Linked DNA regions of Caenorhabditis elegans. The protein of the gene in region 1 purifies or fractionates together with the protein of each later gene. This does not show direct contact. Each region holds a gene or a part of one and is shown on either strand. Other genes may lie near its edges. The genes, in order: nmrk-1 and glel-1.

Region 1 (4,603 bases):
GCAACGTTTTAGGACCACGAACCTTATGTTGATTCTGAAAATTGTCCTGTTCGAGAAATTATAGAATATCTTGAGATTTTTATTCTAAATGTTTCAGTTTATCTGTGAATTCCTTCTTCTATCACTTCATATCACCCGAATGATGTTATCAGTCAGCTTCTTATGGATGTGGGAATTGGCGATAAACACTGAATTATTGGATTTTCTTGGTATAATTATTTCAATTGTTATATCTACCAAAGTTCTTTTGCATATTTTTTCTTATGGTACACTTTTCCAAAATATTCCAATTTTAAAAATTATTTTCAGAAATAGTCTTCACTTTCAATTCGGAAGAATACGAGCAGCAAGTTGACTTGAATTGATGCTTTAAGAAATAGCATACGATGATTCAAATGGGTTGTATCTACGGGAGCCATGTATTAATGCAATAAATGATTTTCAAACAAAATTTTATAGAATAAAATGAAAAACTAGTCTCGGAGTGTTACCATAGTCTTTTGTCCTCACAATCATTCAGACAGGGATAACTCTTGGTCGTCATCGACGGCTGGGGGTCGAACCAGCGACCCGCTGCACACAAAACACACACGCTACCGGTGACACCATTCATGTCAGGTTCTCTTTGAAAAGAAGTGCAGTTATGAGGCGAAGGAGAAAAAGAAAACATTTATTCTCTAAAATTCTAGCTAGCAAGTTCATCTATTCAAAAATGTACAATGTACATATCACAAATAAGCTCATATCCATAAAAATTATAAAAAACATCTTCAGATTAAATCATTGTTTTGAATCTTCGATATTTGATTTCCAAACTCCGTCCACTTCTCCATTCGAGTATTCTTCGTATTTAAAGATTGGTGCATGCTCCTTCAATAAATCAATACATTTTTCAGTGGCTTGAATTGCAGTCTTCCGATGTGGTGAAGACGTGGAAATTATCACAGATGACTCTCCGATGTCTACTTTTCCTAGACGATGAAAAATCGCGATTTTCTTAACATCCGGATATTCCGCTCGAATTTCTGCACAGATTCCACGTAGCTTCTTGTATGCCATCAAGTCGTGACAATCGTAGGAAAGGTTGCTGACGTCACGACCTCCATGGTTATCACGTGTCACACCGTTAAAGGTGGATATTGCTCCACAGGAAGGGCTGAAATAGGAGAGGTTATTGTTGTTAGTTTGAAAAGATTAAAACATACTGACTAACAAGCTGATCCACAACCTTCACATCTATCACTTCATCAGTCAGTTTTATATGATCATCAAGGATTTGTTGTCTAAAGTTAACTATCGACTTGTTCTTGTCATCAAATTTGGACTCCGAGACATCGATGAATGTTAATCGGGAATCTGTGCGACCTTAAACAAAAAATGTTTAATTGGAAATTGGAATCAGACTCATACTTCTTTGCCTCGCCCTTTCTAAATGTCTAACATAAGCAGGAAAAGCGACGTTGACAAAATATCCAGGTGTGTCTGCAGGCACATAATCTGTTCGAGCTTCGCGTCTTCGTTTGCAGGTTTTCTGAAAAAGTTAGAAATTTTAATAATATTAATCGAAAGAATCTTACAAAATCCAGTGTCATCACAACTATCCGATCACACAGATCCACGATTTCGTCCATTTCGGTAATCATATTCCCGTCGATTATCACATTTTTATAAACTTTCGATTCATTGAGAATCCGTTGTCGAAACTGATCTATATTTATCGCTTCTTTTTCGTCAAAACTCCAATAATATCCCTCATCGGTGAGATGCTCAGCGTCCGGGTGGTAAATTTTTTCAACCTGAAATAACGTTTTTTTTTTTTGAAAAAAGTTTCTGAAACCCCAGACGCGAAATGTTGAGATTTTTCCGCTGAAAACACGGTACCCGGTCTCGACTAGACAATTTTCGTTCAATACAAACGGATGTGCGCCTTTAAAGAGTACTGTAATTAAAAACTTGTAATTTTCATTGATTTTTCATAGTTTTTCTCACAATTAATTGCAATTTTCTAAAATGTATTTGTTTTCAATTTTTTATTTTAGTTGTTTGTTACAAAACAAAGCTTAAACGACAAACTACAAAATCGATTAAAATTTCCTAGAGAAAAGTTTAAAACTACAGTACTCATAAAAAGGCGAGTCGAGCCCACTCTTTCTCTGTACGGAAATAAAGTTAATTCTGTGTTTTGTTTGTGATGGCTTTTTTTCGGATTTTCTAAACCAACCTCGTTTTCAGTTTTGTAAAATTCGTCTTGATTTATTATTGTAGTCTCGCCGGCACCAAACTGAAAATACAATATATTAATCGTTGTTGGACAGCCTCACAGAGTCTCAAATTTTGATGTAAAGTGTGAAGCACGATGAATTGCATATAAACTGCGTCTTACGAGAAAGCTAACATTGTTCCGACTTCTTTGTTTCAACTTACAAATCGTTGAAATTCCTTTGCTAACGTGGATTTCCCGGAATTTGTGCAACCGGCCAAAGCCAAAACATAGGCTTTTGTTGAGGTCATCTGTAAAATTCAAAAGTCTTCCAAAAATTGAAGCAGAAAAAAGCAAGCGGCTAGAAAAATGCAATCAATTCGAACAATAAAATCAATTGAATTATCAGAAAAAAATCGATGAATTTATCTCTTGCATTCTCGTGTGACGGGCCCGGTAGAAAACACAATGATAAGCAGAGGAAAGAGGAGATTAAAACTTTCAGATTTTCAGGTCAAAACCAGCAATTTCAGATTTAAAACGTGGTTATATCGGGAAAATTACATTCTAAAAAATGTTTCATTGAAGATGTATGCATGAAAAATGGGATGAAAATCGCGGGTGGGAAAAGTCAGTGAACCGGAGGGAAAAGGTGAGGTATTTGACACGTGTGTGGGAAGGTAGGAAAGTGAAGAGGGATGGATTCGGATTAAAATGCAGAGAAATAGGAATAAAAACCAGTCTACAAAAAACGATAGAAAAGGGAAAGCTTTAACTGAAAAAAATGTCTGTATTTCAAAACATCGTTTGGCAGAAAATAAAAAACAAAATCCAAAAAAATAGTCCAAAAAGAGTACACAGCCGAATTTTTTAAATAGAAATCCCTCTGCTTTATTCACTGTCACTGTCTGGAACTCGCTGGTTCCGCTTCCCTCTCGTCGGCCTAGGAGTTATGGTCATATCATCGTCAGAATCAACTGGAGCCGGCGTTTTCGATTTAGATTTCGCTCTTTGTGTCCTTGAAGGAGCTTTCGGAACATCTGAATCTGGTGAAGGGCTTCTAGCCACGGTGTCTCTCGATCGTGGAACACCTGTGGCCTTCTTGGTATCAATTTGCTTGAGAACCTCATTCAAAGACAGATTTTGATTGCATTTCTGACATTCAACGTTGTCTTGGTGAGAAATTATCGTTGCACTGAAATCCATTGTTTTTTTTGCTTTTCCCGGCAAACAACCTACTTTTTGAAGCAATTAAAATGACACAACGCATGACATTTCTGACATTCAGCAGTGTAAACCGATCGGGAAATGATTTTTCTGCACAGTTCACAAGTTTTGAGGTCTCCTGTAAACTTGGCACGAAGCCAGGGCTCCAGTTCGACTAGAATGCGTGGTGTGATCTCTGCAACTTCGTTTTCGTCGGTCTGAAATGCAAAATGCACTGATAACTATTATTGAATTCTTATTACCATTAAAAAATACCTTTGTCTCATCATTTTTGCCATGAAAATGTCGCATTTAGGGCCAGGCATTTTGCATGGTTCATGCCGAATTTGAGAATGAACCCAATCCATTTGAACGGTTCCATCTGAGGAAATCATTTCTTCGAGAATAACGAGAAGAAGAGCTCGCTCGACTTTTCTGCAACTTTCAATTGGAAACTTTATATTCAAAAAATTCTTACGTCAAATCGCTGGCTTCACTAATAACTGAAGAATTTCTTCCGCATCCTGTCATTGTGACAAACTCCGTTGGAGATTTTTCATCCGTAGAAATTACGAATCGCCACGGCCGGAACGGTTTTGGCTAGAATTTCAACTTTAATATCTGTTTCCCCATAAAAATTGCTCACCCCTTTTCCTTCATCGTCATTCATAGTTTTCACAATCAATTTCGAAAGTTGACGTGCTTCCTCTCGATTTGTCTGAATTTGCATTACAGTATCTGGATGTCCTGCAAACAAATTGTTTATTCCAATATTATTTCCCTTCTTAAAATTACAGACTTTTCCAGATAGCAGTGGTCAAATGCTTGGCGAACATCAGGTTCATCTTCTTAGCGCTCATCGATGGTTCCAAGATGAATTTATTGATTAGGTGGCGATGACTAGCTCCAAACTTTTTTGCGGCTTTCATGACTTCTTCCATTTTGGGTACTTCTTTGTTGAACTTCTCGAAAAGCAAAGTGTAGTCGAAATCACCGTGTGGTTCTTCAAATGAGGTGTCGCTACCGTCATCTGACATTGTTTTGGCTGAAAATTGTTTTAATCAAACTTTTTCTTTTAAAAAAGTATGTTTCGGAGGAAATAGTAAATACAAAACTGAAGATGAAAAAAAAAACATAATCTGAAATAGCGCCAAAAATGTTTGTTTTTTTCAACGAGTCCGCAATGTTTACCGTGTG
Region 2 (5,286 bases), on another chromosome or scaffold:
GCAGACCCGCCCCTGACGTCACATTTTTCGCGGGGGAAAAAATTCCCGCATTTTTTGTAGATCAAATCGTTATGGCACCTTTTCAGTGATGGTCCTCTTCAAAAGAGCTCGGAAATGTGGATCGGCGCTAGATTCGAATGATTTCTTATCGTCGGCGAGTGTCTTCAGAAGGCCAATGTAGTTTTTGAATAGAATATATGGCCGGACTGATGGTTTTTGAGCTTTTTCCGGCGGCTTTTCATCAAAAATCGGCGGTTTTCCAGTGGTTTTAGCGGGGATTTCTGCATTTTCCGGGGCATTTTCCGCAGGCTTCACACGTAAAAATCCAGTGGTTTTGGGAGAGCTTCCTCCAAAAATCGTCGACAGCTTTTGCTCATTTGGAGGTAATTTTGCTCCAAAAATCGGCGATTTTCCAGTAGTTTTAGCTGGAATTTCAGCATTTTCCGGGGCATTTTCAGTAGGTTTCACACCGAAAAATCCACTGGTTTGAGGAGAGTTTGCTCCAAAAATCGACGGTTTTCCTGTAGTTTTAGCGGGGATTTCTGCTTGTTTGGGTGCATTTCCAGGAGGTTTCACACCAAAAAACCCAGGCTCATTTGGAGGCAAGTTCCCACCGAAAATCGATGATTTCTGTGAATTTCCTGTCGTTGTTGCACCAAAACGTCCCGATTTTTCAGAAGGAGAAGCTTTGGAATCATGAATTGAGCCGGAGCCGGATCCTGCGGAAAAATCGAAATTTGGAGCCAAACGTGTGGCTTCAGCTGCTGGTGATTTTGGAGAAGTTTCTGAGCCAAATTTTCCCATATTTTCTGATTTTTCAGAAGCTTTGGGATCTTGAATTGAGCCGCCGATGTCTGCGAAAAAGCCAAATTTCGGAGCCGCCGGATCAGACGATTTTGGAGAATTTTCCCTATAGTTCTGAGCTGCATTATATTCTCCGAGTACTGCTTTCTGTAGATCTGTTTCTCTGAAGGCTTCGTTTCCCTTTTGAGCTTTTGCTTTGGAATCTTGAATTGAGCCGCCGATTCCAGCGGAAAAATCGAATTTCGGAGCCGCTTTTTCTCGTTTTTCCTCCATTTCCTTTGCCTTTTGAGCTTCCAGCGCCTTTTTCATGACGTCATTCTGAAGAACAGGCGATTCCATAGCCGTCACAAAGTCAGTCCTCTCAAAAACACTATCATCGCCGCCGCCGCCGCCACCGCCACCGCATTCCTCAGTGATTTGTTCAGAGAACAACGGGAACGGCGGTTGCTTCGAAACTGGCGTCGACGTGGCTCCATGGATTCCGGCAAATGCGAACGATGGTCGAGACCCGTTGTAGTGATCTAAATTGAATGAATCATGAGTTTGCGGGTAGAAGACTGTCTCGTGAGCATCTTTTGGAGTTGAAGCTGGCTTTGTTGGAGCAGGAGGAGGAAGAACTATCGACTTCAGGCTTGCCATGTTTTCGCCGAAAATCGGATTTTGGCGTGGGCGGACTCTGCAAAAATAGGATTTATTAAATTTTTTCGAAAAAAAAAATTAGATTTGAGGTTTCGGATCTACGATTTCGGGGTTGGCACCGAAAAAAAAATTTAAAAAATTAAAATTTTTTTTCATCAATATAAACAAAATTCGATGAAAAATCGAATTTTATGGATAATTTTCTGACCGATTTTTTAAAAATTTTCCAGGAAATTTTTCGAATTTCCTCTGAAAAACTTTGTAAATTTTCGATTAGGAGTCTCGACACGACAAATTTGTAATTTTTGCCAAAATTCAAAAAATGTATGTGCGCCTTTAAAGAGTACTGTAGTTTCAAACTTTTTTTGAAAGCTGAATGATTTATACATAAAATTCGATTTCTAATCTAATTTTGTCTATTTTAATGAGAAAAAACATCGAAGTGGGCGGCAATTGCCGTTCGGCAAATCGGCAAAATGCCGTTTTGCCGGAAATTTTCAATTTGCCGGTTTTCCGATTTGCCGGAAATTTTGAATTCTGGCAATTTGCCGTTTTGCCGGAAATTTTAAATTCTGGCAATTTGCCGGAAATTTTCAATTCCGGCAATTTCCGTTTTGCCGAAAAATTTTCAATTCTGGCAATTTGCCGATTAGCCGGAAATTTTAAATCAGGCAATTTGCCGATTAGCCGGAAATTTTCAATTCTGGCAATTTGCAGATTTGCCGGAAATTTTCTATTCCGGCAATTTCCGTTTTGCCGAAAAATTTTCAATTCTGGCAATTTGCCGATTAGCCGGAAATTTTCAATATGCCTTTTTGCCGGAAGTTTTAAAGTTCGGCAATTTGCCTTTTTGCCGGAAATTTTAAATTTCGGCAATTCGCCGTTTTGCCGGAAATTTTCAATTCCGGCAATTTGCCGTTTGCCGCCCACCCCTGAAAAAAAATAAAGAAACAGAAAATGCCTCCTAAAAAAAAGTGAATAATGGCCGAAATATTAAGCGAATTTTTGAAAATTGAAATTTTTCGTTTTTCAACTGTGCGAAATTTCATGGGGGTCTCGACACGACAAATTTTTAATTTTTGCCAAAATTCAAAAAATGTATGTGCGCCTTTAAAAAGTGATGTAGTTTAAAACATTTTTTTGAAAGCTGAATGATTTTCAAATTTTTTCGATTTTCGATTTTCGATTTTCCTCAAAGAAAAACGGTGTTTCTTTGAAATTTTCTTCGAGAAATTTTTATTATAATCAAATTTAAAAATTCGAAAAATTTCTCGTTTTTTCTCGAATAATATCCTTGCCAACGCAAAAAAAACGCCGCCGTTCATGCTAAACAACACGCGTAACATCGGAGCATCGTTGTGTGTCACGTTTTTCTTCGAGAAAACAGCGGGGTTGGCACGGTGCCAGATGATCCGTAATTCGGCCAGATTTACCTCGCTGTGAACGGAACCATTCGAGCTGTGGAACTCGGAGAAGCGAACTCTTTTTCAAAATCTTCCCGTGCTTTTTTCAGCTCCAAATCTGTGGGTTTTCTCAAAAATGGACGATTTTCCTTCTTCGAGCCGACGTCAACCTCGCTCATCGCCTTAACAAGGTCCTCAAACTTCTTATCGAACTTCTCACTGTGCTTTTGTCTTCGAATAGCTTTTTCTCGCATATAATCCTCTTTTCTCGTTACCGAATCCTGAAAATCTCGGTCCAATCTGCAAAAAAACCCCTTGTTTTCAGACGTTTTTTCGATGAAAAGGCCCACTTTTCATCTAAAATCGGCTTCATCGACGGCAAACGCCACTGTCGGAAGTACATATCGTTGTCTCCACCGTATGGGACATCATCATCCATTTCTTCAAGCTTGAACGTCGGCATGGCTGGAAAATAAAAATAAATTTTATATTATTTTATATTTTCAATGATGATTTTCAGCCAAATTAGTCAGAATTTGGCGAATTTGTGTAGATTTTACACCAATACAATGATTTTTTAATGTTAAATGCAAAAAAAAAAGTGCAAAAATGGGAGAATTTTAGCGAAAAACTAAAGAAAACCGATTCTAAAAATTGAATTCCAACTTATCCGAGAGTATTACAAAACCCCTGGCCTAGAAACCACAACCCTGTTTTTCTCTGCGCTCTCCTCGTTCTCCACACTCTCTCTCTGCCTCCGGTTTTCCGATAAATGGACTGAAAAGACCGATTTTTTCTATTTTTTCTCGATTTTCCATGAAAAAATGCGAGATATCGAGGATTTTGTGTTCACAAATAAGCAATGTCTGGCGATTTGCATTGCTCAAGTGAGTTTTTGGGCTAGAAATTCAATAAAAATTGAGTTTTTTCAGAATGAAAACACGAAATTATCGCAAATTTTCAATCTTCTCGCGCTGGACGACAAGGAAGAGCAATTCGAAGCTCAGCCGTTAAGCCATAATGTCAGATGTTCACTAATAGCGATCGCAAATTATTTATTGCATAGCCATGGACAGGTTTGCGGAAAAAAAACTGAAAAAAACGGCTAAAAAATTAAATTTTTCCTAATTTCAGCACGCCGATGAGCTTGTTCCAATGCTGCTCCGTGCTCTAATTGCTCTTCCGCACATGAAATGGATTGATGATGGGCTTTTGAACAAATCTGATAGTGGGTTTTTGGAAAAAAAAAATTTTTTTGAAAATTTTTTGAAAATTTTGAAAAAAATTTTTTTTTGTTGCAGAAATCCCTATCCAAGAGCAATTCTCGTTCTGCTTCAACACTTCACTATCCGACTTGGCCGCCCATCTTCCACGATTCCGCCAACAAATCGTTTCAGCTCAAGCGGATGCTCTCGCCTGTGCAGTTTCATCAATTTACGATGTTTTGGAGGATCAGGAGAGCCTGGAGCACAATTATTCGCATGTGATTAAGCTTATGTGCTATGCTCTGGGACTTTTACGCTCAATTGGACGATTTTCAGCTGACTATGATACTCCGCTAATTTCCCTGATTTTTCCGCTACCCGTGGATGAAACTAAAAAGTGCAAGGGCGCTGGTGGAGCGGATATGTTAGTTTTCGACGGAATTTTTGGGAAAAAAATGAAGAAAATGATGAAAAATTGACAGAAAAACAGTACAAATCACCTTATTTTCGATAAAAAATTCCAATTTTTGGCAATTTCCCAGTTTTTGGTCGTTTTTCCGCTGTTTTAGATAAATTTTACCTTTCGATAGGCATCAAATTGAGTGGCTATCGGCTTAAAATGCGCCTAAATCAACGAAAAATGCGAGATAATCGACCAAAATATGCAATAAAAGGTGAAAATCGAATCATTTACTATATATAAAGCGCTTATTCTGTGTGCCCATAGTTTGTAGTCTATGTAGTCTTTGTAGTCTCAGAAGTTCTGGCTGCTGAAGGGATAGTTAGTTGAGGTTAGTGTAGGGATATAGTCGGGGTACTGTAGTGGTACAATAGTGGTACGGTAGGAATACTGTAGGGTTATGGTAGTTTCAGAAAAAATTAGTTTTAGACCCAGAAGTCAGGGACCGCGCCGGAGGTGCGGTCCACAGCTGGTAAAAACATATAAAAAATTCTAAAATTTTCAATAAATTGAATTTTTGGAAAATTGTATTTTAAAAAGCCAAAAAAACCGTGCCGCAGGGTTGCAAAACTAAGTTCCGCCTTTTTTTCTGTGCGGCGCGGTTTTTTTTGTTGCGAAATTCACATAAAAATTCATAAAACCGCTAACACTATAATTAATTTTTTTGAAAAATTGTTTTTTTGTAATCCGGAAAAAACCCTGCCGCGGGGTTGCAAAATTAGGCTCCGCCTCTTTTTCTGTGCGGCGCGTTTTTTTTTGTTGCAAAATTCATAAA

The links.
Region 2: the proteins of nmrk-1 (region 1) and glel-1 fractionate together in Caenorhabditis elegans (co-fractionation; one large-scale study listed by BioGRID). This does not show direct contact.

The regions. Positions count from the first base shown.
Region 1 is NC_003279.8:6,105,205-6,109,807, forward strand, and holds nmrk-1 (Molybdopterin synthase catalytic subunit), read right to left. Parts: upstream 2,512-4,603; coding exon 2,425-2,511; intron 2,282-2,424; coding exon 2,222-2,281; intron 1,797-2,221; coding exon 1,578-1,796; intron 1,532-1,577; coding exon 1,411-1,531; intron 1,366-1,410; coding exon 1,206-1,365; intron 1,157-1,205; coding exon 781-1,156; 3' UTR 659-780; downstream 1-658. Other genes in the region: T27A3.8 (NADH dehydrogenase subunit 4L), read left to right, coding at 98-266, 310-365; nse-1 (Phorbol-ester/DAG-type domain-containing protein), read right to left, coding at 3,092-3,395, 3,440-3,624, 3,670-3,841, 3,885-4,006, 4,053-4,153, 4,206-4,443.
Region 2 is NC_003281.10:12,272,065-12,277,350, reverse strand, and holds the start of glel-1 (RanBD1 domain-containing protein), read right to left. Parts: upstream 3,312-5,286; 5' UTR 3,310-3,311; coding exon 3,197-3,309; intron 3,147-3,196; coding exon 2,877-3,146; intron 1,481-2,876; coding exon 79-1,480; intron 1-78. Other genes in the region: pifk-1A (1-phosphatidylinositol 4-kinase), read left to right, coding at 3,671-3,733, 3,779-3,922, 3,981-4,074, 4,148-4,475.